Linked DNA regions of Yarrowia lipolytica. The protein of the gene in region 1 interacts with the protein of each later gene in a pairwise test. Links are inferred from orthologs where the notes say so. Each region holds a gene or a part of one and is shown in the gene's direction. Other genes may lie near its edges. The genes, in order: YALI1_D31274g, YALI1_E40327g and YALI1_B05711g.

Evidence for each region.
Region 2: the proteins of YALI1_D31274g (region 1) and YALI1_E40327g interact in a two-hybrid assay, tested with the Schizosaccharomyces pombe proteins (2 studies listed by BioGRID). The link is inferred for Yarrowia lipolytica from reciprocal best matches to the Schizosaccharomyces pombe genes mor2 and nak1.
Region 3: the proteins of YALI1_D31274g (region 1) and YALI1_B05711g interact in a two-hybrid assay, tested with the Schizosaccharomyces pombe proteins (2 studies listed by BioGRID). The link is inferred for Yarrowia lipolytica from reciprocal best matches to the Schizosaccharomyces pombe genes mor2 and orb6.

What each region holds. Positions count from the first base shown.
Region 1 is NC_090773.1:3,122,016-3,132,477, forward strand, and holds the start of YALI1_D31274g (uncharacterized protein), read left to right. Parts: upstream 1-5,365; coding exon 5,366-5,368; intron 5,369-6,196; coding exon 6,197-6,361; intron 6,362-7,003; coding exon 7,004-10,462. Other genes in the region: YALI1_D31186g (uncharacterized protein), read left to right, coding at 1-1,212; YALI1_D31258g (uncharacterized protein), read right to left, coding at 2,942-3,727. UniProt on the Schizosaccharomyces pombe protein: Required for the maintenance of cell polarity. Has a role in localizing F-actin at the cell tips.
Region 2 is NC_090774.1:4,028,955-4,039,354, forward strand, and holds YALI1_E40327g (uncharacterized protein), read left to right. Parts: upstream 1-3,734; coding exon 3,735-6,416; downstream 6,417-10,400. Other genes in the region: YALI1_E40282g (uncharacterized protein), read left to right, coding at 1-813; YALI1_E40305g (uncharacterized protein), read left to right, coding at 1,587-2,252; YALI1_E40324g (uncharacterized protein), read right to left, coding at 2,607-3,437; YALI1_E40361g (uncharacterized protein), read right to left, coding at 6,958-7,216, 7,563-7,690.
Region 3 is NC_090771.1:567,023-576,460, forward strand, and holds YALI1_B05711g (uncharacterized protein), read left to right. Parts: upstream 1-4,127; coding exon 4,128-5,894; downstream 5,895-9,438. Other genes in the region: YALI1_B05690g (uncharacterized protein), read left to right, coding at 2,051-2,125, 2,271-2,630; YALI1_B05698g (uncharacterized protein), read right to left, coding at 2,634-2,859, 2,906-2,943; YALI1_B05730g (uncharacterized protein), read right to left, coding at 5,900-6,077, 6,609-6,655; YALI1_B05762g (uncharacterized protein), read right to left, coding at 6,687-9,272. UniProt on the Schizosaccharomyces pombe protein: Interacts with pak1/shk1 and coordinates cell morphogenesis with the cell cycle. It is essential for maintenance of cell polarity and is involved in mitotic control.

The sequences.
Region 1 (10,462 bases):
AACAAGGGCCGAAAGGTGCTGATTGCAGAGCTCTCTGAGCTCAAGTTCCCGCGGTACGGCAAGAACGGCGAGCGGCTCGCATCTGACGCCAAAGCCGCCATTGCCGAGGACGAGGAGGCGCCCTCGGATGAGGTTGCTGAAGATCTGGCCGAGGCCGAGGAAATTCACGGCAAGATCCCCACCAACGGATACGACTATCTTCTGGGCATGGCGCTGTGGTCTCTGACCAAGGAGCGGTACGAGAAGCTGCTGCGGGAGCGGGACGGAAAGGAGGAGGAGCTGATTGAGCTGCTGAAAAAGTCCGCCAAGGACATCTGGATGGACGACCTGGACGTGTTCATGGAGGCTTATGAGAAGTTTGAGGAGCAGGACGTGGAGAAGCAGCAGAAGCTGGACAACTATACTGGTAAGAAGGGCGCCACGAAGCGGAAGCGGGCAGCCAAGAAGAAGGCTGGAGATGACGACGATGAGGATTTTATTGTTGGCAAGAAGGCCAAGACTGCTGCTAAGCCCAAGACGGCAGCGGCCAAGTCACGTGCCAAGTCGTCTTCAGCGTCGGTTGAGCCCGAGGTGGTGGATTTGGATGATGTCAAGGTCAAGAAGGAGCCAGGAATTTCCAAGACCAAGCCCCGTTTGTCCGACACCGCCACCTCTCCCAAGTTCAAGAATACGTTTGGCTCACTTGGTTCCACTTCCATCTTTGGCGACTCTCCCGTCAAGTCTTCTCCCACCAAGATCAACCGTCTGGGAGCTGCCGGTGGCAGGCTTCAATTTGGATCCGGCAAGCTCGATTCTGAGTTTGAGATACCCAAGAAGAAGCGGGTGTCGCTGTTTGGATCGCTGTCTGACGATGATGACGATTTGGACATGGGAGGGTCCATTGAGGAGGTGCAGGATGTGGCCAAACCGGTCAAGAAGGCCGCCCCCAAGAAGGCTGCTCCCAGAGCTGCTCCTAAGGCCGCTCCCAAGAAGACTGCCCCCAAGAAGAAGTCCATTTTTGACGACTCGGATGAAGACATGAATTTGTCAGACGATGAGGTGGCCGAGGTGGCGTCTTCCGCGTCGTCTAGAGCGTCGTCTAGAGCGTCGTCGGCTCGACCTCGACGTGCCGCCGCCCCCAAGAAGTCTGTGTACGTCGATTCGGATGATTCGGACCTGGATATTGTCGATGATGAAGAAGATGTGTCCATGTTCAATGATGATGATGAGTAAGGTCGGGCGACCATGATGGTCACTTTTTGAGAAAGTAATTTATTGTTTGTGATTATGGTGGATGGTGGTAATGTAGTGTCAGAGACTGGTATTGTAGCTATTGGATATTGTATTTTAATTCTCGTATCTATTAAATTAATTAAATAGTTTTTTTAGTCAGGAAGACATCAAGTCTGTACATATCGTTGTCAACTCCTTCGATTCTCAATTAGAAAAAAAAGTATGAAATTCTACTTTTTAATTCTCCCATATAAACCAATCTATATTTTCTTATTACCACTCTCAAATGTTTCTATTTAGTATTTCCCCAAATTCTAAGTAAATACGTCCCTCATTAGTTGACTTATTACATCTGGCTCTAACTCTCCCAGTATAGATCCGATCCCCAGAATTTCAGCTATAATCTGCTTATCTGTGGCTCACAAGCAATTTTTGTCCTTCGAAAAATCCAGCTAGTCTCCCACAGCCACCCAAATGCCCACTCTTTCGTGCCACACTCCATAAACGTCTCGCTAAAAAGAAATTGACAGATCTAAACTTTCGTGATAGACCCTCTCGTCATTTTTCAACTATTCACAACTCTTGATATAAAGGTTCAATTGTGACAATGTGACGAATTCAACGCCAAAACGACCATTTAATCATCAGAAAACAGGTCTTTTCATACATAATACCGCCAATAATGTCTTGAATCGCCTCGATTCGTCACTTTCTGTTCAACTTTGTCAGCACTCTACACTAGCATCTACAAGTACTTGTATCTCGCTCAATAATGATCATATTCAACCTATCTCTTCTCAAACAGATGAGACCAAATTCCCCCTTTCAATATTTGTTTCACAACCTCCAATTCGTCTTCTTTTCCGAACATGCAATTGTACTCGTACAATAGACCAAACTGTACAGGAAGAATCAGAGTCGTATACCGGAGGAATTGAGATGTTTTTGAAAAACCACCAAAAAAAAAAAAAAAAACACAACAAACAAACAAACAAACATACAAACAAACAGAAGAAGCAACCTTCAGTCTCGCGACATAAACTGGAATCCCAAATATTTCCCCATCTACCCTCGATTCCAAGCTCTTTTTAGGTGGAGATGTCGTGGTGCATTCGCTTGATCTCCTTCACAAAGTGGTTCAATAGATAGAAGAGAAACATCAAAAGATTCTCCTCCAATATCTAAAATGAGCACGGTTTGCTCGCCAGTCTCCTTATTGACACCCAACAATGGCGGCGGAAGTAGGCTCATTCTCTGAACATTCAAAAAAAACAAAAAAAACAAACGTCCTTGGTGGTCTAGAGGAGATCTCTGTTGAGGTCCCGGTAAATATGTACTTTTGAAATTCAAGATAATTGTTTGTATCTTAGTAAATGTCCAATATTCCCTTCGTTCGTCCCGGAAAAGTGCTATCAAATTGTTCCTGAATGGGTAGGGCAGTTTGTTCTGGTAGTTGTAGTATTGAAGATATTAGTGATACTCTGCATCACTCAAAAATGCTTCAATCAATTTGGTTGAAATTCCAGCAGATAATATATATCATTAATATCCCCTCGGGTCTTTTTATTCGATCGTTCTGATCTTCAACTATTTTTTTTTATTGATTTTTTTCTTTCTTTATAATTCCATCAATCAGAGCGTGTATATTTAGCGTGAGCAGACCTCACGAGGACGTCATGTGTACCAGCCATCGTAATAGTGCCCCTAGAGTAGAAAACAACTTCGGCGCTCATTCCTCTCCGCGCTTCCGCCTCATAGCCACGATCACCATGTCGCGACGATATGCTGCAGAAGCTCGGGTGAACAAGTGAGCGAAGTCTCGCTGGACCACGGGGTCAGTACCCACTCGGCCAGTTTTTCGCATAGCTCGCTCGAACTGCCACAAAGCATGGGCGAGCTCTCTAATGTAATTCAGCGGGCCGTCCTTGGCTTCCAGTAAGATCCAGTCCGCCATCTTTGATGGAAGGGGGACACCAATCTTCTGGCAGATGGCCTTGGACGCTGGACAATTGACAAAAAGGTGCTCGTGGAGGTAGTTCTTCTGTTTGAAGAGTTGACTAGAACTACATCCAATGTCTCTGTACTGGACAGATCTTGATTTGGGGTACCACCGGGTGAAGGGGAGGCGGCTCAGCCGCAACATGTGTAGCGTAGCAGCGCTCTTATCATCTCGTCGGTAGTGCTTGCTCAGGAACTGATTTGTCTTAAGCCAGAGTAGGTGGTTCGGATCAAGCTCAGATGGCAGTGTCTCCAACCAGTGCTTGTTCTTCATGACCTTGAAACGATCTCGCCAGCTATCCTTTGCCACCTTGACAGGGACATCGATTTGCGACTCGAGATATGCAACTTGCTCCCGAGACATGGTTGCGATCGGGTTTTCACGACGCTGGCGTTCGAACAGGTCAACTTTCGTCCTCTCACTTGACCACTGCGCCCTAGGGCGCAAGTCGGCTGGAGACTCCGCCAGTACAGCTATAAGAGACAGCCTTGCAAGTCCTCGCAGACATCGGTCCATGGAGTCAGATAGGAAATGGCGCTAGTGCCAGTTTCCCGTCTCGAACCACCTAATCTTGCTCATTCTCGTAGCAGAGTGGGATTGGAGCCCGTAGCCCAAGTCTACTGTCTCACTAGCAAAGAGAAACATAGCGTTTTGTCTTGCAGCAGTATCATCCCTGAAGAAGCGAGCCGCTCGCGTGGCACGGAGACTCTTTGCTTGCTCAACAATGTTCAAAAGGCCAATGCCTCCTGCTCTGAGAGGCTGATAGATGAGCTCGTCGTTGAAGGTGCGCTTGCCGTCCTTGTTCTCGCCAACCAGTAATCCGTTGATCTTGTCGCTGATTACTAATCACACCTCTTGAACTAGCTCATCAACTTACCCAGTCTACACATGGCATCCTGGCCGAGCGGTTAAGGCGAGAGATTAGAAATCTCTTGGGGTTTCCCCGCGTAGGTTCGAATCCTGCGGATGTCGCCATCTTTTTGTTTCCTTTTGCCTGTATATTTCTCCGTTTCATGTAATGTGGTTGAGAAAAGAGAAAAAATGAAAAAATGAAAAATGTTTTTTTTTTTTTATTTTTTTAATTTTTTAATTTTTTTAAAAAAGAAAAAGCAAAAGCAAAACATCAATATGACCAAAAAATGTCAAAAAATGTCAAACATAGATAGCAACGCAACGAAAAGAGATAGCACCAACCAACTACTCACCCTCTATACGTATCACGTGACATCGACCCTCTCCCAGGAATCTGATGTCAATTGTTTGAGCAGACAAATCCACCTGGGCTACGGTTGTATATTATATCCTCCTAGATACTGGTCACGTGACTCCAACAAGCCTGTAGAGTAGGTACGAGTGTACTGTTCAACTACGGTACAGTACTTGTACTGTAGTGAATATTGAGGGGTCGATTTAGGGATAATAAGTTTAAATAAACTATGAAGAAATGTCGAGTAAAACGTCAACTAAAAGTAGTTAGTCATCCGGATGAAAGAGGTGTTAAATTGGAATTTTGTATGACAATATATTCAGACGACGATTTAGTAGTTATAAACTTACTCATTACTTACTGATCCATACACTTTTCATTTCGGCGACATCTCAGCAACGTTCAAAATGAACCCCCAGCAGGATTTAGTTTTCAACTATTTTCAACTAAAGCTTTTAACTAAAAAGAAGTTGTTATAGAAAAACACTTAGAAAGCCATATTGTATTTTGTTAGTATGAAATAAATAAATAGAATGGATGTTTTATCCGCTCTATATTCTTTTCTTCTCTCTGTGGCATTTTTTTGAGGCTCCACGTTCCATTTTGCGCATTATATACGATACTTGTACAACGATATTAAGGAGGGGTTCATGATGTTTGGGAGAAGGAGAATCGGCGATTTGGACAGGAAAAACAACAAAATCCGAGAAAAATAAAAAAAACCGAGAAAAAAAATACAAAATAACAACAGACATCCTTGTGATCACGTGACCGAGACCAGCCCGATGCCGCTCTTCTTTTAGCGCTCCAGTTCGGGCCCGGCTACAACGCCTGGTGGATTTTTTTCGCGCCAAAATAAAGTTCTCCCACCACATTCACCTCCTCGCATAACTGGCGACTCCTGCAGACTTGGCCAGCTAATTACACCACGACGAAGCGATATTGGGATGGTGAGTAGAGCAGGAGAGGGGGGAGAGAGATTATGAGGTCATGTGGAGGTCACATGGGCACGTCTGGGTCACGTGGGTGCCTACTGGTCACGTGGTCTACTCTGGGGAGAGGCTGGGGGCGGCAAGAGCACCAGTCTGGCTGATTCAGCGGTGGGGGTAGGGAGGGTATGGGGTGGAATGAGATATTCAGATGTTTGTTTGGGGGATGCGGGCAGGGGTTGAGTCACGTGACCAGCGGTTGGGTCACGTGGCCAACCGTCAAATCACACGACTGATTGTGATCTCCTTCTCCTCACCATCCCGTTAGCATTGCTGGTCACACCAGTTGGGGTGAGACTAGATTGAGGCCACTGTGGCCAATTTGGGTTGCGAGATTCTTTCAGAGGGCGTTTTGCGACATTGTTAGTGTCAGAGGTTATTTGGAGGTTGTATCCAGCGTGTTTCTGACGTCTTGCGGCCCCACCAAGTTCCACCGATGCAGTCCCAGTCCTGGTGTCACTCAGATCGAGCAATTGACATATCTTCATCGAGACAGTGATAGATAGATTACGGCACTTGAAGAACGCGGGATGACGTGGTCTCATTCACATCAACTCTGTCGTAGTCATAGTCGGGGCATTTCAGTGGCAGCCCATTCTAGTCTCATCTGCGTCATGTCACCTGTGCAACCATCACTGACGTGAGATTGTTTGCTATTGCTACTTGTCAGACTACTTTCCGCGCTACTTGTCAGACTATTTGTCTGGCGGGTCACGGTCTCTTTAAAAAATCTCCGCACTACCGCTCCACCGACCACCGCACCACCACTTCCACACACTGCTAACCCAGAACGAAATCACAATCCCAGACCTTTCGTCGCCGGCCCAAATAGCCATTCCCACGTCACTGGACACTCCACCGGTACGTGTGGACCGACCTGTGGAGGAAAAGAAGGAGAAGAAAGACGACTCGAAAACGCCGAGTGAATATGCCTTGCATATTTTGTTTACACAGGTGAGTATGGAAACGCCCAAGTACGGTTAAAGGTCCGAGTGGACCCAATGAGCTGGCAATGAATGACCTGTGCTATGAATGAGCTGATACTCAGAAGCAACCACACGAGCGACAAAGAACAGTAAAATGGGGACAGTCAGGAGTCGAATCGATACTACTGTTCCACTGAGATGTCTCTGCTGACACGTGACCCTTCAGTAATGGCCATGCTTTTCTCGAGATGGCGCAGTCCGACACACTGTAGAGGTCTACGACTGTCGTGTCCTTTTGGCGCTCTTTGGCGCCTTTGGACTCTGGTAGAGGCGTGAGTGAATCTCGCAGATATCACGATGCACCTCCAAAGTCTGCTGGTAGGGCCATCTCAGGTTATGTGACTCGTCGCTAAGCTACGTCAAGACCAAAGTCATGTTCTACAGATTCGTCTGGTCACAAGGAGCCCGAGATACAGTCGTTCACATGACTAAGTAATGGTTAAAATCATGGTCAACACTCTGGTCAGGCTCTGAGAATGCAAGAACACGTTCACGTGCTGTTCGCTGTTCTCCAGATCCACTCATGACTTGTTTTGTGCCTCGTCAGGCTCTGATCAATTGTGTACGTGGCTACGTCACGGTCTGACTCCTCTCTACTTCGCTAACCCAGTTTGTCCGTTACGCAGAACGCAAACTCAACCTCTGCATCTCCACCCCCGACTCCGACCCCAACATCACCGACATTCTCGGCGAGGGCGCGGACCCCGCATTCGATAAGATCATCGTCTCTCTCGGCTACATTGCACGCCGGGAGCCGAAACCGGTGATCGACAGCGTCATGTTCTGGCGCAAGTCCAAGTCCGAGGTTGCCGTCAACTCGGCCGCCGCCGCTCATACTGCCGCGGCCTCCGCATCTGCCGTGACCGGCCATTCTCGACAAAACTCGCGTGCCAGCGACATGGGCAGCGGCGGATTTGGCAGTGCCCAGCTCCAGGAGCACGCCAGCAGCGCCAGAGAGGCAGCTCTGGTCGCAGACAAAAAGTCGCTCATCAGTATCTACATTCTCTGCCGAGTTTTAATTGAGGTGGTCAAACAGACAGACACGGACTCGTTGGGTGAGGATCTGCGTGATAAGCTGGAGGAAATTGTCTTCAAACAGCTGCGAACGACGGACCCGGCGGTGCTGGCTACCAGCCACGTGCGCCACGCCAACTGGAACCTGTTTGCGCAGCTTTTGGGCCAGATGAGCAACACCAACTTTGTTTCGGTTACGGACCGTTTCCTCGGCGATCTGGGTCGGGCCGGCGAGCCAACCTCCAAGGAGAAAGAGACCCAGCTGGAGCTCGTGATTCAAGGAATGTGCCATTTGCAACTGAAAATATACCCCATGGACCAGCTGGACGAGTCTGCGGACTTTCTGCAGTCTCTGGGACAGTTTTTCCTGCGCTCTCATCTGCCCAGAATTAAATACGCATACATGGACGTTTTCAACAAGCTCTTGTTGCCGGTGGTGTCTGTGGGTACTGTGGAACTTAACCATCCGGTGTGGGTGCAGGCCATTTCCGAAATCTACCCCAGAGTCATTGCCAGCATTCCAAAAACGTCCAAGCAAGGCTCTGGAGGCCCGGCCATTGTGGCGGCAACGACTCTTTTGACTGTGTCTCCTCAGGAATACTTTGCGCAGAATTGGTCAGCACTACTCGATGTCATCATATCACGGTTCAAGGAGAAGCAGTCGCGAGGCCATATGGCCGTTTGTCTAGCAAGATTATTGTGGGTCTATGTTTTCCGATGCTCCGAGTCGTTGAACCATACAACCAAACGTCTGGAGGGAATCACACGACAAATGTTCCCTGCGGGGTCCAAAAAGGGATGGGCGTCGCTAGACCCGTCGATACTACACCCCACAATCCAGGTTTTGCGGTTCATGGGCTTCTCCAACCCCTCCTACACCATTGACCAGATTTTGTACCAGCTCATGCATACCCAGTTGCTGGAGGGATCGGCCAGTGTGGGGCTAGAGAGCCTGTCTCCCGAGCGACTTATTATTGGCATGAAGGCGTACATGTACATGTTGCATGACTATGAGCAGGACCAGAAGCCGACGTTTTTGACCGACGATGCTCTCAACGAGGTTGTACGGTCGCATTCCTATGTCGAGGGCCCCTTCCACCGCCAGAAGACCAAGCTGCTGGAGGAATTTCATGACACCTTTTCTCAAATTCTCGGTAAGCTGTTTTATCTGTGCGACACGTATTTCTCCACTAACAAGGACGAAGAAGTCAAGAGAAGCTACCAATTGCCCAGTGCTAAGACGCCGATTGCAGTTTCGTTCCATTTTGGCGCCAACGACAGCACCACTCTCAATCGCGGGGCGTTTCTGGACCTGCTCTGTTACACCATTGAGTGCATTCCGTGGTGTCCCCCGTCCAACCTAAAGTTTTCAAAGCTGCTGGAAATGCTTTGCCGAAACACTTTGTCGGTGGCGCCGGTGAGCCAGGCGGCCAGCAACGCCCTTAAAAAATTTGTCGTTGCCGGAAAGGAAGGCAAATCAGTCATTGAGGTGTTTGCCAAGTTTATGTTTTCTTTCGAACAGCAAAATTTCTGCAGCACCGAATTCCCGGCTACCGCCACGGACCGGTTCGAGTCTCTGCTCAAGCTGTACGTGACTCTGTTGGAGCTGTGGCTCGACACCATCAAGTCCAAGAACGACGACTCGGTGGACTTCAACTCGGTCTGGGCCGTGGTGGAAGAGGTAGAGAGCAACGGGCTGTTTTTCCTGTGTTCTCAGAACCGCAATGTGCGCCATTTGGCCCTCAAGATTCTGCGGCTGACCGTGTCGTTTGACGAGGTGTTGTCGGGTGTGTCTGGATCACGTGTCATTTCGCTGCTAGACTCCACCTCCGGCAACGACCTTCTCAGCCAAGCCAACCCGGCGATTGAGCTCAACACCCCTGAAAAGACCCGGCTCAGCAAGCTGACCAGCAAAAACAAGGCATCGCTGGCCCAACTGTCCGACTCGGACTACGGAGTCGACACGTCCATCTGGCTCAAGGTCTTCCCCTGCTTCATGCAGCAATGCTTTGTGGCCTATCCCATGCCCGTGGCGCTGTTCAGAAACATTGTCTGCCTGCGCCTAGTGCAGATGCACGACGCCGTGGTCTCGTTTGCCGAGCAGCAGACGGCGGGACCCCATTCCTTCAGTCTGCGACACCCAATGCGAAACCAGGCGGAAATGCTCATTGAGCAGTGGCAGATCTACCTCATCGTGGCCTGCTGCACGTTGACGTTGACCGACGACAAGACCAATGACCAGGCGGGAGTGCCTACTTCTGCTTCTCACAACCGCAAGAGATCAGTGCCCCGGATTCCAGCGTCACAACAAAAGATTACGTCTGCCAAGTCCGTTTTCCGAATGGTAATCCCCCTCATGACCGTGGACCACCCGTTGATTCGTGACTCGATCATCGCCGGGCTCTCCTGTATCAACGTGAACATCTACGCGTCGCTTTTGGAGTGCCTGCAAGCCTGTGTGGGAAACTGGAAGGAAGAGCGACGACGTTTGCGTCAGATGAGCCACCATCGGCGAACCAGTTCCGAGGTGAGTAATCCGGACACGCTGATTATCGAGGTGACTCGAATTCTGAGGCTGACGGCGCATTTCATCCAAAACGATGAGATTCTCAAGGACGAGTGGATTCTTGAATTTCTGTCGTCGTACATCAAGGACATGAAGGCGTTTTTGTCGCTACCCGAGGTCCAGGTGGAATGGGACTATCAGCGTCTGAGGCGGTATTTCTGCGGGTTTCTGGAAACCGTCTATCTGGGCATCATCAAGACCCCGAACCCCGCCAGATGGCTGCCGTTTGAGGGCCGCATTTCGTGTTTCACCGTTATTGAAGAGTGGTGTGGACATGGCCAGCACTGGGCCTTGTCCAAGGACCGAGAAATGCAAATGAGGAGGGTGGTTTTGGGCCGGACCCGGGAGAGCAAAGACCAGTCTATGATTGTTGCTTCCATGGAGCTGGAGCGACGCAAACTCGAGCTGGCGGCGCTCTCGTGCATGGCTGTGCTTTGTTCGGGACCGGCGGTTCAAGCGGTGGAGAGCAACGGCGAGACCCGAGCGGTT
Region 2 (10,400 bases), on another chromosome or scaffold:
GCCAACGTGGTCAATGACTCGCGAACGGCGTGGTACACTGCAGGAATCTACGATTTCGACCCCTTTAAGGGTGTCAACATGGAGTCTGTTACTCTGCCTACAGTGGAAGGCACCAATGAGATCATTGTCGATACCTCGCGTCTCAACAACATCAAGCTGCAACAGTCGGACACCTCCAACCTCCTAGCTCCTCCGCCAGAGGCAATCAAACAGCCTCCCGGATGGCTGGAACGCCGGTTCCGATGGGCAAAGGTCCTCTACAACATTGCCGTCACCATGCCCATGTACGCCGTCACCTGGATTGCGTCTGCCATCTTCTACGGCATCATTTCCAACCGGCGTCGAGTGCAATACGCCAAGGGCGAGTACTGGAAGAACAATACTTCTGATGACTTTGTTGGAGCTCTCTTCAACGGCAAGGTGCACTCTCCTGGCGACAAGTCATCCGAGTCTTCTTCTTCTTCTTCTTCTCAGTCGCACGGACACCACAGATCACATTCCCTGGAGGAAGGTGCGTTCCGTACGGCCTTGGAGGATCAGGTGGACAAGACGATGGACTCCATGTTCACTGCCATGGAGTACAAGACCACGGAGGGGGACACGTTGGATCTGACCAAGACCAAGTTGGTGCTATCGGACAGCCAAAAGACCATCATTGAGAACCTCAGTAAGCTCAAGTGGGATAAGACCGCCATCCACATCCGTGCCACCAAACAGGCCCATGCTGGTGCCATTGTGCGTCATCCAGACCCGTCCTTCTATGAAGGTAAGACCGTTGTCAAGCACTGGATTGACAACAAGGCCCGTCTTTGAGAGCAGCCTGACTCGGCCTTTGTAGAGCAAGGCCATTATTGATTTATAGACATTATACCGGGAAATACTAAACACAAGAACCTTCGGCGTGATTATCTGCACTTGTACCACGCTGCAGTAAGTTAGTAATCGGAATTCAACTGCCATTAGACATTATTTACCTGCAGACCCAATTCGTCCAGCAACGGAGGAATGAACGTTGGGGGTTCGGGTCTAAAGATGCGTCCTGTAAGTGGGGGCGTTGGTCTACGAGTAGGGTCCTGCTTTAGTGTGGAAAATTTATCTCTTTATGTGTTTCCATTGGCTGGTGCGTTTTGTTGTTTTCCTTTATTCAGCCAATCAGAATGCGTGAGAATACCTGTTATGTTTTCCTCACAATATTTTTTTCCACCGCCATTTTGGAGAGCCGCCGGAAACCAGAGTGCCGAAAGGCTATCTTTTGGGCTGGAATTATATATCCTAAGCCAGACACAATCCTGACTCACTAACCTTGGAGTAGATAGAGAAAGAGCAAGAAGCTCTGTGAGTCAGAGAGGAAGAGGGAGGCACATAATGTGGGAGTTATAGGGGTATTTATATGACAAAAAAGCAGCTGGCTCCGTGTAATGATGCCGGCCACACCTCCCTTTCACTCTTCCATCCAGCACATTCTAGACCCGACCGTTTGCTAGCAAAGCTAAATGTTGATAAGAGTCATCGATTGTCAGCCCCACTGAAAATTACTTTCTACCTGTGATACTCACTACACGACCAGTCGCACAAACACACACAAAATGACCCGACGAATCGCCAGCATCCGACGAGAGACCAAGGAGACCAAAATCCAGATCGCCATAAGCATAGATGGAGGAGCTCTCGAGCTGCCAGGCCCCACCATGCTCCCCGAGGGAGCTGATGTTTCTCACGCCTACCAGAAGACCGATACCCAGCACATTTCCGTGTGGACCGGCGTCGCCTTCTTCGACCACATGCTGCACGCTCTGGCCAAGCACTCCGGCTGGTCTCTGCTAGTCGAGTGCATCGGAGACGTCCATGTTGACGACCATCACACCGTGGAGGACACCGCTATCGCACTTGGAGGCTGCTTCAAGGAGGCTCTGGGCCACCTGCGAGGCATCAAACGATACGGATACGCATATGCCCCTCTTGACGAGGCACTATCGCGATGCGTTGTGGATCTGTCCAACCGAGCATACTGTGTGACTGAGCTTGGTCTCAAGCGAGAGCGAGTGGGCCAGCTGTCTTGTGAGATGGTCCCCCACATCTTTGAGTCTTTTGCTCACTCCGCTGCCATCACCATCCACGTCGACGTCATCCGAGGTGCCAACGACCATCACAGAATCGAGTCTGCATTCAAGGCCACTGCGCTGGCTCTGCGTATGGCATCCTCCATCACATTCGGAGACGAGGTTCCTTCCACAAAGGGTGTTCTTAGATAAGCCCTCTACAGTACTACAAGTAGGTACTACAAGTAGGACAGTATCCCCCCAAAATGTAACATAACACAAAATAAATGTATCTATACCTAATCGACATGGACTGCACCGCATTCGTTATCTTATCGTAGTCCTGCTTACTTTGATCCGTATCACATTCGTGTATCGCGATAAGAAGTAAACATTGCTGCAAGTATAAATCAGGTCTCAAATCTCTTCTTGAAGATAGTTTTAAGCTCACCGTGAACTGAACGTGAACACTACGAGTACGATTTTCAATATTATTACCGTCGATATAACAACCATGCAATTTCTATATACATATATACATTCCCTCATTCGTCTGTGCTGTTTGGTTCACTGCAGCAAATCAAACAGCTTTTCGTACTTTCTGTGCTGCGAATGTTTGTTACTATCCGCGTGCATTCTTTGCAGCTTTTGAGATCCCGTATAGTCCTTCCACACGTTGGCACTCGCCTTTTTCGTCGTCGATTGCAGCTTCATAATCAACTTGTCATTGTCCAGCTTGGCCCCCTGGACCTCCATCATCACAATCTTGTCTCTGTGGTGTTTGATAGACGAGTCGTTCACTTCACAGGTAGCCACAACGCCGATGCAAGCAGCTTTTGTGCGCTGATCATCCACAATACGTGCTGGTAACATGGGATTTGCCATGACTCCGTTACGAGATGTGTGTAGCGATCCCTTGGGGAAGTAGGACGGTCCAGCCACGGGTTTCGTGGATATTGAGTCCCACGGACCGAATTTTTGTGTTGCAGCGTACTCTTTGGCAAGCTGGATGAGATACTCGCCGTCCAGAGCGCTGCGCTTGACGCCTCGGTCGTTGCACCACTTGATGAAGGCGTAACTGAGGTTGGACTGTGATGCAGTTTGTATTAAGGGAGGTCCTTCCAGGGCGATTCCGGCGGTGGAAAACTGCTCCTGGGCGCGTGCAAAGCCCATGTCCTGGGGTCGATAGTCGGTGCCGAGTCCTAACCAATCCTGGCCGGCCACAGACACCATTTTCGGCTGTTTGGGGTTCCGGCTGTGCTTGAGTCCATACTCCAGCTTCTTCCCTTTGCCCCGCATTGATCCGACCAGTTGTGTGGTTGGCGCATGTGGTGACACGTTCTCCGACGTGTGCATCGCCGGTATGCGTGACTGTCGGAACAGGCGTCCAAAGGACATTTTTTGTTGTCAGATTTTTCGATGTATCCACCTCGGTTTTTTTCCCAAAGGCTGTTCGTTTGACCTTCGGTGATGTTCATGCATGTCAAGGTTTGGCCCACTAAGGAGGGAGACATGGGGCTGGGGAGAGAAATGGGGCGTGGAAAATAATGAGTGAGGGAAAAACGAGGGTCAAAAGCGACAAAAATGGGGCACATTTGAGATGTTAAAATAAGTGTATAAAGATAGACATTATATATCGGACTGGAAGAGTAAGAAACGTGTCTCTACGATACGCCCCAACACCCAACTCACGTGATGATAAACTCGCTTTACAGACTACTACAGAACATCGAGCTGTCCACGTCTCCTCCTCAACACTGGGATATGCAGACATCCACGCCCGTCACGTCCATCTACCAGCGCCAGGAGGTCATCGGTCGCGGCAACTTTGGCGTGGTCTACAAGGGCTACCACAAAAAGACCAAGCAGCTGGTGGCTATCAAGGTACTCAACCTAGACACGGCAGAGGACGACGTCAAGGAGGTCCAGCATGAGATTCAATTGCTGAGCCAGCTCAAGCTCGCCGACGCAGAAAACATCACCCGCTACCATGGCTCGTATCTCCACGGCTCGCGTTTGTGGATCATCATGGAGTACTGTGCTGGAGGCAGTGTGCGCACTCTCATGAAGGCAGGCCGTATCGAAGAACGACACCTCAGCGTCATCACACGTGAACTGCTCATCGCTATCCAGTACATGCACAAGGCTGGAATCATCCACAGAGACATCAAGGCCGCCAACATTCTCATCACCCAACAGGGACGTGTTCAGCTGTGTGATTTCGGAGTGGCCGCGCAATTAGTCTCCTCCAAGACTAAACGGTCCACTATTGTGGGAACACCCTATTGGATGGCTCCGGAAGTTATCACAGAAGGAGCATCATACAACGTCAAGGCAGATATTTGGTCGCTTGGTATCACGCTCTATGAAATTGCAACAGGCTCCCCTCCCCTGTCCGACCAGGAGGCAATGAGGGCCATTTTTCTGATCCCCAGAAACAAACCCGCAAGATTGGAAGGATCCCAGTACTCAGCGGCCCTCAAGGAAATTGTCGCACTATGTCTGGACGAACTGCCTGACGAACGACCCTCAGCAGAGGAGCTGTCAAAAACCAAGTTTGTCAGAGGCTCAAAGGGTATCCCAACATCGACCATCAAAGACCTCATTTCAAGATATATGCACTGGAGGGAACACAACAAGTCACGTGATTCGATGGCTGTATATAACCGGCATTCCATTGGGTCTGAAGAGGATATTGTGGACCATTCGGACGACTTTCGGTGGGACTTCGACACATCCACTGCGCCTGATGATGCTCGTGTGGAGGTTCATAATGGCCAGATGGACTTCAGGCCAGAACCCACACATGCCTACAGAGATATTGGCGAGATGGGTACCCAAGTCCTGTTGCAGAGCACTGTCTCTGCCTCTGAGGTCTTGGAACAGAGATATGAGCAGCAGCAGGGACTACAACAAGGCCAACTACACGATCTTACGACAGCTACTAACACGATGACTGTGCCTCAGGAAGAAGAGGAGCCACATCCACTTCTGGAGCTGTTTGTGGACGAAAACGAACCTCCTGCCCCTCCTGCCCCTCCTGCCCCTCCTGCCCATGCTCCTATGCCTGCTCGTCCCGAGCTGTCTTCCTCAATGTCTCTACCTACCGTTCCCACTCAAAAGACTCAAATGGCGTCTATGGCTCCAACTCTCAACGATCTAAGAGAGGAAGGCGAGCCTCCAGGGGTACCTCCCATGGCCATGTCTCGTCGTAAGACTCTTGGACGGGGTTCCAAGATGGGAGCTTCTCCCGAGAAAGATCATCCCCAACCTCCTCCTCTTCAGCATTCACACAGTTTCGCACAGACCCAAGGCCAAGGTCAGAATCTCAATCAAACCACCCATTCAGGCCAGGCAACTCACCCCGGTCTAGGAGGTTTGCCTCAAGTGCAGCAGCCGCCTCAGCTACAGCAACAACTTCCTCCTCAGATAAAACAGCCCCCTCATCAAATACAGCATCCACAGCCACCGCTGATGCCCCAATTGCATCAGACAATGCCTCCTGTGCCTCACACACAACCTCCTCCCTCTCAGATGCCGCCTCTCCCACAGCAGCAGCCTCCACAACAGCCATTGGCTCCCCCACCTTTAATGGCACAGGCTCCGCCGCCCCCGACACCAATGCATCACTCCTCCGCGTCGCTGGCCGCGGTAGCAGCTGCGAAGTCAGCTATCAATTCGGCCAACCCTTCTTCTGGGGCATCTCTGGCTGCCCCTCATCAGGTTTACCCCAAGAGAACGCCCTCTCCCATTCGGGGCAGTCCTCCACCCGTGAAACGGCCTTCCAGCCCTCCTCCGCAGTTCCACAGACCCTCTATCTCGTCGGTGTCGTCCATCTCATCAGCAGCAGCTTCTCCCTCTGCAGCTTCGCCTGTGATGAGCCACAAGTCGTCTGTGTCTTCTGAAGACGGCGGCCATGCTTCTCCTCCGTTGATACCTCGTTCCGAGAACCCCCAGCTGGCTACCCGGTCAGCTTCTGTTCCTGACGTGGTTATGCCTCGCTCAGACGTTAATGGAAAGTCCCCTGCGTTCAACACCGAGAAGCCCGCCAAACTGCGAAACGTCAACCTGCAGATCAAAATGCCTCCGGCACAAGCCCCGCCCATGCCCGATGCATTCATGACCCCTGCCCGCAAGGAAGACTACACGCCCAGTCTTAATGTTCCGTCTCAGCCTTCGTCGCGTCGTCCTTCTCGGGCTGCCCAAACCCAGCCGCCCGTTCAATCCACTCTGCAGTTCCCTCCCATTCCCAAAATTGATCTGTCGGTGCTGCTGGACCCTGCTCCTCACGCCGATGTCACTCGGGAGCTGGAGAAGCTGCTTACCTCTTTTGGAGACGCTCTCAAGGTGATGGAGGACGGCTTCTCATCACTCTAAGCATTTACTCCCCCACGGTATTAATTATATAGCCTGCTAACATTCATTAGATGATAAGTGAACGATTTACAAGCTAGTACAAGTAGTTGGAGTAGGATATGATTGTGTGGAACTGGCGTATTTCCTATCCTCTGACTAAAACGAGTTACCTATTCCTAAGTCATTTCTCCATTAAATTGTGTGATCCTTAGTTTGGAAATTTGGTTAAAACAAATTTAAGTTTTGTTCACACAAATTGACCAATATTATGATCGGTGATTCGGACAGTGCGTGAAAATCGTCCCATTTGTAATAAGTAATCAACCACGCAACAGTGACCCTAAAGACAGCAATTTGGTCAGCACAAACGGGGGCATTAATTTTAGAGAGATTAATGCGTCAATGCCAACAGAACTCTCAATACGCACCAATCGTTCTGTGTTCTAAACCCCTTACAATCTTCAACACTACATGTGCCAGATACAATACACGGACTACAAGTACTGACATCCATACCTACCCTCTCGTACCTAATAATCATGTATTGTTAGAGCTTTTATGCCTACTTTCGCTTAACAACCTCGAGGTTGTCAAGAGCATCCTTCTCAAAAGCCTCAGCCTCAACGTCGAGGATGTAAGGAATGAGGTAGTGGTCGTCCTCCTCAGGCTTGGTGATGTCGTTACCAGTGGCAAGCTTGTGAGACAGAGAGAACTGAGTGGCTCGGATGAGTCGGTAGACTCGGTCGTAAGACTCGGTGGGAGGGAGTCGTCGGAGAGCGAGCTGCATGTTGGGGGTTTCCTCAATGATCAGATCGTTCATCCTGGGGTTAGTATTTGCTCACGCACAAGTTGATGCACACCCATCAATCAACAATTCCAGCAATATCTACAGTTGAGCGTCGGGGGATTCCTTTCTGAGTCGGTTTTTGTGGTCTTCCAGTGTCGCTGTGTCACTTCCGTATCAATGGTGTTTTGACCCTGAAATATCTCTTACGTCGTCGCGTTTAAGGGCACATTTCGCGTGTCGTAGAAACGCAGAAACGCCTTGAAACTGGTGTCGCAAAAGCCGAAATCGTCCATAATCTTTCCCATTCACTCGTACTGTCGATGCTGCGCAACTGTCGTTGGGGTGTGTCGCTGGAGGGCGTTGTTTTCCTTGATACTCACTTGAAACCAAGCTGTCGGTATCCGGAGAACTTGACATAGGTCTTGGCAAGAGGAACAACAATCTTGCTGAGGAGAGGAGACTTGAGGATAAGCTCGCTAGTCTTCACGACGGAGGTGATTGAAGCCATGGTTGCTGTGTTGTGTAAGTAGTTGGTGCACTCTGCGATCTTTTCTACACTCAAAGTGTATTTCCACTGGTCAGGATTTTGTCCTTATTCTATTGGCTAATGGCCCGAGGGCTTGGGAGGATGCAGTGTGCAGGTTTTGCGGAAGTCTCCCCTAACCCTGTTCGCTGTGTTGGGACAAGTTCTAAGCACGTGACCTGAAAAAATGTTGACTCCACTCATTCGGCTCGTAATTTCGAAGAGAATACAGCACCATGGTCATTTTGCTCAATTCGTATGTGTCAAACGTCCTCATCTGCCACCTTTGCCTTCTGGATCGACTGCAGCCAGCGTCCTTATCCCTTGCCTGCATGAGTGTCCACTGATAATGATACCACACCAGAAAACAAAGAGGTAGGCGTGTCATTCTCAACTCTAATGTTGATTAGGTGCATGGCAGGGCGGGTGTGTCCCCCCCACTTGTCGCTTCAGGTCTACTGACTAGCCACGTCCCAAAAGTATATAAGGAAGCCCAATCGCGCTCTTGCTGTCTTCTTCTTCTTCTTTTTCTTCTTCAGAAGTCGATCCCTCCGCCGCCAGACTGGCAACTGTACCGGTTGTCGGGTCCTTCTGTGACAGTGCTGAGCCCGCTGAAAAGCACCAGGCTCCTGTCAAGGCCTTTCCAGGAACGAGCTTGGCCGCCGTACCTGACGTAATACTACCTGACCGAGTGTGGTCAGCAGAGTGCTTTGGGAACATGCCCAACTGGAGTCGCTAAGAAGCTGCGCTCTGGGAGTTTACCGGTTAAGAGCTGTGTTGCAGCCCCTAAGGGAATGTGTCTAAAAAATGACCTTACCATAGCGAAGAGCGATATGATGCCTGAGCCCTGTGAGCCAGAGCAGAAGTGCCACCGACCGACAGAGAGAGAATGCCTTGAGCCCGTGTCTCGACGCGTCTTCGAGCCTGTGATCTCGACCGACTACCAAGGGGGAGGAAGTTCAGCTATGCTAAACCCTGGAGCCGGAACTTTTTACAGAGGGGAGTGCCGCTTAACAATGACCGAGCAGAGAGCCGTTTGGAAATGAATGTGCCGCCATAGGGAGCCAAGTCGTCGAGAGACCGCCAGTCAGAGGAAGCCAAGATCTAGAAAGACGCCATATCAAGTGATTATAAGAGCCACCAGCAACGAGAGCCGCTATAGAGAGATATTTTGAGTCAAAGACCCATTGCGAGAGCCCGAGTGTCCGTGCGAGAGAGAGCCATGTGTGTGTATGAGCCTGAGAAGCCGAGTCCGAGAGTGCCCGTGGGAGCCCCAATTAGTTACAGAACCGTACAAGTACAGAGGGAGAAAAAGAGCCCGAGTCCGATACAGAAGACCAGAGCCGCCAAAATTGATATAGCCAAGAGCCAGAGCCCGTTAGATCATTGAGAATCGAGACGCTGCCCGTGCCGCTTTTATACAGAGGAGTCGCGAATCCGGAAAGCAAAGAGCCCGTTGCCCTGTCGGAAACACAGAAGAGATAGTTGTAGGATAGGAACTACTCAACTCGCATTAGATAGTATTAGGAGGACGTACGCTGGTACTCAGCCGAACCTCCGGGGTTAATACGATTGGACCATCGAGTCCCATCCCCTATATTTGAGACTTGTAGTGTGTATGGTTGTAGAGTAGTTAGTTGTACTTGTAGGAATTGTGTGTTGTGAAGATTTGTAGCAATCTCTCAACAGGAACACACGTATCCTTTACGGTACTTCTGGGCTCTATCCACTATGTACATACTGTAGTAAGGTTCTTATCTGCGATGGGTCTAAGAACTCTACTTGTAAGATGAGCTATATATTATTACTAGCGACAGGTAGCTACTTTCACATCATTAAATGTGATTCTGGAAGAACTCATGGGGCCTGAGGGCGAAAACCTTGCCGTAGATGTCCATGTTGTTGGAACCCTTGATCTTGTTCCAGTAGCAACGCCAGGCAGCGCACTCTTCCTTGTGGGAGGCTTCCGTCTTGGGACCCAGAGAATGGTGCCCATCAATGTCGCCGTTCTTGATTTGAACAGTTTGAGCGTCAGTATATGTAAGAGGCAGAGTCAGCGTCTTTAATCTTGCTGTCCCAGATCAATGTTGTCAGTAGAAACAGTACATTGGGTACCAATGGCATTGATTCGGGGATATATATTAGCAACAATGGCGATATCCCCACTGGCGCAGATATCCTTTGCACCAAACTTTTCAGCGTCGACAGAGGATTCACAAGATAATCGACATGGCCCTAATCTCGACAGTTCGAACGAACAAGTACAGTGCTGTAGGGCTTCTCGAGGTATCGGCGCTCACCGGTAAACTCGCCCTGGAAGGAGACCAAGGCAATGGTGCCAAGGCCATCCTCGGCTAGTTTCTTGGCGTAGGTTTCAGTGGTTCGTGGTAGGTGAATGCTACCGCTGGCGTTTGTGATCTTCATCTTCGATCTATTGTCACCTGCAGGCCCTTCATATAAATGATAGCCCAAGTTTACAAGGCTTACTACAAATATCAAATGAACCACTTGTATAAGCAGCACTTGTATGTACTGTAGCTACAGTATACTGCAAAATCCGCTCGAGACAGTCTTATAATACAAGGTTTCGATAACAGGCAGCCGTTGGGTTAATTCTATGTAGTGAGGTGATTAACGATTAAGGCAGGCGGGGAAAGAGTTAGAAATGTTCGTTCATCCCCATGTGTCAATTCAT
Region 3 (9,438 bases), on another chromosome or scaffold:
ACCTGTCTGTGGGCTCAACAAATGTACTCCAGACTGAGAATTAGATGATTTGTCTTAGTCCGGAGTTGGCGGCGACTGTCGAATCTATCCTCAGGTGCTGAAGAGTGGTTCTAGGAGCTGGGTTCGTTCAAGCAGTTCTAGGGCTCCTCTCATTCCGCAGTTGGGCACCAGCATGACCACAAGTGGGGGGAGAACCAAAATCTGATCAGGAAGAACCAGTTGCTTACGCTCAGATATAGTCTGTCAGCTCCACTCGTTGATGCTCTACTGTACGCGGACGAGAGTGAGGCGGTCCTTGTGGGAAGAGAAGTAGGACACGTAGGACGCGGCAGGCTTCCACCACTGTGGATCCAGTTCTTGACCATTGGTCGGTGGCTCGGGCGTCCAGTCCCCTCAGCAGTTCCTGGCCAGCTCCTCCGGAGCAACAAATTCTCCAACGGCCTCGTCTGTTGTTCTACCGGCTCGAATGAGGTGTGTCGTTCTTGTCGCTGGTTTGAAATTAAGGCGAGTTCATCTGTTAATGGAAGGCTACAGTTATTACGGGAAGGTTAGTTCTTTTCTTTTCTTTCTTTTTTCTTTCTTTTTTTTTCTTTTTTCTTTCTTTTTTTTTATTCTTTTTTCTTTCTTTTTTTTTTTCTTTTTTTTTCTTTCATTTCTTTCTCCGTCCCTCCATCGACTCAGTGGTGCCCGTCTTGTGGTTCCATGGGGCTCTAAAATTAACAGTTAATATTCTCAGTGATTCCAGCACGTTTTTCGACACTTCCAACACGATTGTCGCAGCTGTCGTTGTCCAAAACCCCCATTCCCATTCTCTGGAATTATCGCCATTTTCTGGCAATTACAACGCAGAAAATCCCCGAGCCAACCCCAAACAAAGTTGGATTTAACACAATTAATTCCCAGCGTTTTAAGGGGTGCAACTTTGCCGACAGACACTAGCCGCGGTTGTTGAGCGCACTTTGAGAACAGTACAATGGCCAAATCGACTACTTGTAGATATACAAAATGAAGCTGTCGCTTTGGACAACTCCAGTCCATGGAAATATCGTCGCTTTTCACTTAAAACAACGCCAGGTATCCGTATCTTCAGCTGTTGGGCGTGTGAACGACCTGAACCCTACGAAACGGGTCTCCAACTCGGGCTCCAGTCACACTGGTTGGAAAAATAGCCACGCCATTGAATTCGCAGCGAACATATTCTAATATAAACGTGGTGGCGTTTTGGCCGTGTATGTTTTCCTTCGTCTGTGGTGGTATCTTTTTTGTCCGCAGCCATGCGGTTTTTTCATTTTGGGGGTTTTTTGGGGGAAGTTTTGGGGGAAGTTTTTGGTTTATGTTATTTTATGTTATTTTATTTCATTTTATTTTATTTTATTTTATTTCATTTCATTTTGTTTTATTTGCTCTTTTCTGATAGGCAAAATCGTCCATATCCAGCCCTAGGAACGTCGCATCGGATCCCTAAAAGGCGAAATTGACCCAAATTGCAATAACAGCCATCAGTCTCTATTAAAAAAAATCACCCCACAGCTCTTTCCTGTCTCCTTCTGAATTCCCCCATCTTATTGACTCTAGATATGCAAGTGCTTATATACTGAGTGTAGCACCCAAAAAGACCACAATAGCTGAAGATGGAGAGGTCGAAGGACCGAAGAAGGTTGATAGTTGACTTTTGAATCTCCGAATCGGTTCCTGATTCGACAGTTTGGGGCTCCAGCATTCTTCTTCCTCGTCAATGCATTCCACTTCAAGCAGCTTCCCCAATCCATCATATACACCCATATCAAGTGCTACAAGAGTCGACCAACTAACACCAAAACATGCCATAACCAACCAAAACACACAATCACCACCCAATTTACCCTCCCGAGACACCGTCACGTGACCTCATCGACCCGCCTCATTCACACGCCTGTCCCACCCCTCCGCTGACTAAGCACCCCTGTAATTACCTCATGCAGACGCCGCTGTACCACTCTGCAAGTCACGAAAGCCATACATTTCTTTCGACCAGCGGTGACACGACATTTCGCGACACAAAGCCGTCATAATGGTGTTACAGTACATTTTGGTACAGAACCGACAGGGCAAAACGCGACTTGCCAAGTGGTACAATGCGTATTCGGTGAGTACATGATGGGGCTCCCAGGTTTCTTCATCTTGACCAACTCGGCGAGGAGTGCTGCGATCAAGATGGAAGCACCACCATTCGAACGGCAAGATCCAGACGAACACAGCCATATATCGTTTGTCCGCATGGACTAACCCAGGACACGGAAAAAATCAAATTGATGGGAGAGGTGCATCGGCTGGTGGCCGCCCGAGATCAGCGATACCAGAGCAATTTTGTGGAGCTGGGCAACTACAAGGTCATCTACCGCCGGTACGCGGGACTTTTCTTTTGCATTGTGGTCGACGAATCCGACAATGAGCTCTTCTACCTGGAGGCCATCCATCTGTTTGTGGAGGTGCTGGACACGTTTTTCGGCAACGTTTGCGAGCTGGATCTTGTCTTCAACTTCTACAAGGTGTATGCGATCCTCGACGAGGTGTTTCTGGCCGGCGAGCTCGAAGAAACCAGCAAAAAGGTCGTTCTGGCTCGACTCGAGGAGATTGACAAGGCCAGTTAGTATTTATAGGGAAGGACATGGGCTATGGAGGCGTCGAACAAGAGCCAGGACAATATGATTTATGATATTGACATGTTGAGGGGGAGGGAGGGTTCTATTGTAGGAGCAGGGGAGAGCGCATGAGGTTACGAGCAGAACGACGCGAAGAGAGGATGTTTGAGCGAAACTATGGTACCATTGGAAAGCCCTGGTCTGTCCGATGACAATGGTATAAGAATAGTTGAGATATCTCTTACCAGGTCTTGTCTACTCCGTGATTATCAAGGAGAACGAACATGCAACGTAGGAGGACAGCGGTGACACTACCAACCATCTGGTCACATCAAATTATCTACATCTTCCGATTCAGAACGTCTGGTTGACTTATTGTGTGATTTTTCTCTTCGCTCGGGGCGGTTTTACGCGCTTTGAGTAGTCACCAGAGATGTAAATCACTCTAGCTTGGCGAATATTGCTCCTAGAGGATGGGAAATAAATCCATAGTAATACACACACTTTTCTGATCTTCCTAGATGTTTCAGATCTTCTCCACCATGTCTGTGTCTCATGTTCATCCCGAGCATGTCGTTCTGCTGTACGCGTAGATCAACACTATTAGGCTACGTAAAAAAGTCACGTAAAAAGAAAAACAGAAAAAAAAAGAAAAATACTAAAAAAAGAAAAAGGAAAAAGAAAAACAGTAAAAAAAGATTCAAAATAGGAAAATAATATTTAAAAAACACCCGGGGCAGGTTGCAAAATCAACCGATGCAAATATTGACAATGAAAGTCGTTGAGATCACAGATAGGGATAGTTATCGACCAATGGGGGCGTTGATTTTTCCGGTTTAATATTTTTGTATTTTGTACTATTTTTGAACTGATAGTTGTAGCCGTATTTTTGGCCTCAAGTTGCTTTTTTTCTTTAAAACAGAGCGAAAATAATATTAATTACCCACAAATAGGCTCACGTATGGTGGGGGGAATAATCAGTGTAAAATCGGATAAAAGTGGAGAAAAAGGTTGGGGAAAATTGAAGAAAAAATATACAACCAGGAAGAGACACCCATGTGTACAAAAATCACTATTTTTGTCGCGTTCCCGACCCAAATCCACCTCCAATCAGACCGCCCTTTTGCGATTAACTATTTCACATTATTTTTGGTGTGCCTCATCTGTCTGTCACGAACTGACTTTTAATGTTGCAATAATACGTGTTGTTGTGGTCCGAATTCGGGGGCAAAAAGAAAAAGAAAAAGAGACAGTCCTGCGTGTGGCGTGTGACACAAAACCCGTCACCGTCTATATATTCGCACCCTTCAGCTCCCCTCTCCACCCGTCTGGTGTTCCTCTACATTCACACACGTTAACCTTTTCTCCTGCATAATTCCACGTCACCTAACCCAGCCCCTTTTACACACACACAGACACACAGAGAGACACTCGGATAGTTGGACCCAGACAGACACCACACTAGCTACAACTACACCCACACCGCTCTCCACACAAGCAAGCAAGATGACAGACAAGTGGGTTCCTGGCCAGGGCCAGCCCATGTACGGGTCGCAGCAGCCTCACAACCTCATGCCGCCTCCGTCGGGGCTGTATCAGCAGAACTCCAACCAGTCCAACACGTCTCTGGATCAGCAGCAGCAGTTCAACCAGCAACAGTACAACAGCCAGCAGCAGTACCAGCAGCAACAGCACAGCCAGTACCAACAGCAGCAGCAACAGCATCAACAGCAACAGCAACAGCAACAGCAACAGCAACAGCAACAGCAACAGCAACAACAACAGCAACAGCAACAGCATCAACAGCATCAACAGCAGCAACAACAACCACAGCAACAGTCTGTGGCTCAACAGCAGCCTAGTGACTACGTCAACTTCACACCCCGGCCGGATCTGCTGTCCAAGACGGCCCGAGACCGAGCCCACAACACCACCCAGGTCATCAGCACCTACTACAAGGGCATTGTGCAGCATGCTATCGAGCGCCACCAGCGAAGATCCGCCGCCGAGGCCTCCGTCGAGCAGGCCACGTCGGAAGAACGACGCAACCGGGTGCTCACAAACTACGGCAAGAAAGAAACGGCGTATCTGCGTATGCGACGAACAAGAATGGCGCTGGAAGACTTTGTCACCGTCAAGGTGATTGGAAAGGGAGCGTTCGGAGAAGTGCGGCTGGTTCAGAAGCGAGACAATGGCAAAATCTACGCCATGAAGACCATGCTAAAGAAGGAAATGGACATGAAGGAGCAATGGGCGCACGTCAAGGCCGAGCGAGACGTGCTGGCGGACTCAGACTCCCCCTGGATCGTCTCGCTGTACTTTTCGTTTCAGGACGACCTGTACCTCTACCTGATCATGGAGTTCCTTCCCGGTGGCGATCTCATGACCATGCTCATCAAGTACGACGTTTTCAGCGAAGACATTACCCGTTTCTACATTGCCGAGTGCGTGCTGGCCATCGAAGCGATCCACAAGCTAGGCTTCATCCACAGAGACATTAAGCCCGACAACATTCTGATCGACAAGACGGGCCACATCAAGCTGTCCGATTTCGGTCTCTCCACAGGCTTCCACAAGACCCACTCGTCGGCCTATTGGAAGAAGCTCAAGGACGGCACTTCCTCCAACCCAGCCACACAGATGGGTCCCCCTCAAAACACGAACCGACAGTCGACTTACGATTCCATCCACCTGACGATGCGACAGCAGATTTCCACGTGGAGAAAGAACCGACGTCTCATGGCTTACTCCACCGTGGGAACGCCAGACTACATTGCACCGGAGATCTTTGTGCATCAGGGCTACGGCCAGGAGTGCGATTGGTGGTCTCTGGGAGCCATCATGTTTGAGTGCCTGGTTGGATGGCCTCCGTTCTGCTCCGAGCAGCCCCGAGAGACTTACCACAAAATCATCAACTGGCGAGAGACGTTGCAATTCCCCGATGATGTGCATCTTTCTCCTGAATCTGAGGATCTCATCAGGCGGCTGTTGACTTCGTCCGAGAACCGTCTGGGTCGAATCGGCGGCGCCAACGAGATCAAATCGCATCCCTTTTTCCGAGGCGTCGACTGGTCGTCTATCCGGGAGTTCAACGCGCCTTTCGTGCCCAAGTTGAGCAGTATCACTGACACCAGTTACTTCCCCACCGATGAGCTTGGTGATGTGTCCGAGTACCCTCAGCAGAGCTCTCGAAGCGATCGATCCAGTGATCTGCCCTTCATTGGATACACTTTCTCTCGGTTTGACAACATGACCAGGCGGAATGCTATCTAAGTCGGCTAGAGAACTGCGGACAGAATGGATGCGTATAGGACGATGCGAGCAACGTTCTGTTGTACAGGCTCGTTGGGGTTCCTGAGAAGGACAGGTGCCGAGCGCGCCACAGTATGAGGCATATGACACGCCGAGATCTTGCCACCAAGATCTGTGTGCCAGACAATCATGTATTTGTATGTACTTTACCTGATATAATACATAGAAGAGGACAGACGTCCATTAACTGAACAAAGGGGGTACAGTGTAAGAACATGACACTTAGCAGGGTATAATGTGGGGGTTCTGGACAAGATACTGCCGAAAGATTTGCACCATTGTATAGTTGGAGTTGGTGCTATCATTGTGGTACAAAACTGCTGAAGTTTCGACTGTGTGAGTTATGTTCATGTCTCACTTGTACGGTATTCTAAGTATATATTCTTGGGAGGTGATAATCTGAAGCACCTCTGTTGAAAGTGCAAATTTGAAGGTAGCGGAGATCATCACATGTGTGAAGACTTCTGAGTTGGTTGACAATCATACAATGTCCATGAACGACCATCGTGTGGCTCACATGCACTATATCCGTCCCAGTCCTGTGAGCTATGGTCATCTAATGTGGTTGGAGTTTAGTTGGAAAGTAGTTGACTAGGAAGAGTGTCTACAAAATACGCCCATCTATACCATTATTCTCTGTGTATTAACGCCAAATCCCTATAAATAATTCAAAACAAACTAATAAAACCCATAACAAATCCGGGTCTCTCTTTTCTACCCATTACTCGAGACGATCCGCGTCCTCGACCGTCCTTACTCGGGAATATAAACCCGGTTCATGTTGGCAATCTCACGACAGAGAATGTGCCAGTCAACCTCTCGCAACCAGCCCTCACCTTGATCCCGATGACGCTCCTCCCACTTGACAAGCTCGTACATGAGCCGCAGGTTGGGCTGGATGATGACGTTGAGCCGCCGCACACGCACAAACAGGTACGCTCGCGGAAGCCCCACGCCAAGCCGCTTCATGACCTCCGCAATGCAAACCGTAGCCGACCGAGAAACTCCCACTCGGCAATGCACCAGCGTCATTTCACCCAGCCGGTATCCCTCGTCCAAAAAGTCCAGGCACTGCGCTAGCGAGTCGGTGATCTCGTCAATGCCATCGTCCTGGATGTTGGACACGTACAGCACGCGAGAGAGATGCTTTCGGGCCTCTCGACGCTCCTGAGTCTGTCGCACCAGCTTAACAAGATCTGGATCATGGGCCACCTTGCGAGCCTCCTCCTCCAGGTCAATCTCCTCGTCTTCATCAGCATCCTCGGCCATAGCCCAAGGCACAGGCTCTCCAACAGACAGGATCCGCTTGATTCCAAGCTTCTGAATCAAACCGTGGTTGGAAGCATGATCCAAGGAGCCGAGGTACAAATGCGGCAGGATTCGAGAGGGCACGGAGCCGTCAAAGTGGTTGAACCACGAGTCTTCATGTCGCACAGAGCCGTTATCCTCATCGTCCGATAGGAACATAAGGTTGGGGGGCATGCCAGTGTACTCTGCTCCAGAAGAGAGCTTCTCGTTTAGAGCAGGCGAGTACTTGTGCAAAGCAGTCTGAAGAGCAGACGCCACAGTCACATCAATGGGGAAGCAGAAGAACGGCCGCTTGTACTGTACATGCAAATCAACCCACGCTTGAGGGGCACGGCATCCGGTGGAGTACATGAGAAAAATGAGCGCCAGAAGCGACGTCTCAGTATATCCATCATTGCAAAAGACTAGAGATGCGGCAGGCTTGCCTCCATATGTGCATTTAGATCGCAAATAGATGAGTTTGCACACGTTAATGATGGAATAGACGTTTTCGGGGGTCAGGGCTTGGATGGGAATTGATCCCGAAGAGGGGAAGCCTAGCTGGAGAGGCGAGAGTCGTCGGGAGGGGTCGACAATGCATGCCTCAGCCTCCCGAATGTACTGGTCTAACACAGCCAGGGGAACTAGTCGGGCATTTTCCTGGCAGTCAATAATGGTCACCCAGTTGGCGGGGGCCTTGACTGCGGCCGCATCAATGTCGCCGTGATGCTTATTGACCTGCTTGGCCTGCTTGGCTGCAGACAGAGATGCTGTGTACGCATCAAAGTCGGTTGTGTTTCCCAGCCACACGTCGCAGGCGATAGGAGTGGCGGTAGACATCATAGAGATCTCGACCCGCTCATGGAATAGAAGGTTGGCATCCCAGTTCTTGAGCCGTTGCTCGTCAATCTCGTCGGGGGAGAGATTGTGCGACATGGTGACAGTGTGGGGGGCCTCCTGCTCCAGCTGGGTGATGGAGTCCGTGAACACAAAGGTGCGGTAGACCTGGTGGAGCTTTTCATTCTCAGCGGCAAACCGTCGCTGAGCGCCAGACACGATTTCGGCGAGCCTGAGTAGCCGCGGGGTGAGACCCTCGGCCGAGTCGTACAGCACAATGTCGGAGATGACAGCCCACTTGGCGACCTGGATCTGGAACTTTCGCAGCGAGATGCCCTCGGGCGCGTCCAGAAACTTGAACTTGTCCTGGAAGTCTTCCTTTTCCGCGTCGCCCTCCAAAAAGTCCTCCAGGAAGATGGTGCCGATGATGGAGCCCGAGTGGCGGGCCTCTCTGAGGGTTTCGCCCTTCATGGCGTGGCCAAACCCGTTGTACTGCACGGGGGTGTTTGCGGCGACCTGCCGTCTGTTGGCCTTGACGATGATGAGTCCGCGCACTTCGGACGGGATGTCCTTGTGGGAGGGCAGCGGGGTGGAGGCTCCCGGCGCCTGCGACACTGGGAACGACGAGTTGTTGGGGATGAACTCGGTGGTGAACTCCTTGTTGACGCGACGGTTGGGGTGCAGGAAGGTGCGCTGGTTCACGTTGCTGGGGTGCAGGCCGTGGAGCCAGGGGAACATTTTATCCACCCGGGGGAGTCGTGTGGAGTAATGGAAGTCAATGGCATCCACGAGTGTTTTTGTGTCTATGCCAATGACTGGGGGGGAGTGGGTCAGAATGGACCAGTTGGCCGAGTCCAGCAGCGCCGACTTTCGCAGTGGGGGCGACGGCAGGGCCGAGGTGGAGGTTGAAAGCACCGCGTCCGCGACCGCCGGGGTCGGTGGCGCCGTTTGGGTATCGTGTGGCGGGGCGTCTTGCGACTGGGCTTCTCTTTCCGTCAGCAGGTCTTCGGTCACGTCCATGTGGTCCATGTCGCCCTGACAGGTGACCTCCTTGAACGGCGGGGTCGGGGGCGAGTTGGGGCACACGGACGCCGGCGAGCCTGCTCGCGACTTGCCCGAGTCGTCGTTGCACGCTGCTGCCAGCGTGGACATGTTCTGTGGTGGCGACGGGGGTAGAGACGGGCCCGATGTGGGGAGGGGAATTGACAGTGACATGGAGGAGTTGAAGCCGTGTGTGTGTCTATGTCGGTTGTGGGACGTGTGTGGCGTGTGTGTCGTGTGTGTAGTGTGTGTCGTGTGTGTCGTGTGTGTCGGATGTGTCGCTGGATTATCTGTCTCTACCGTCTGTGTCGTTTGTCTGGATATCACCTAGCGTGTCTGT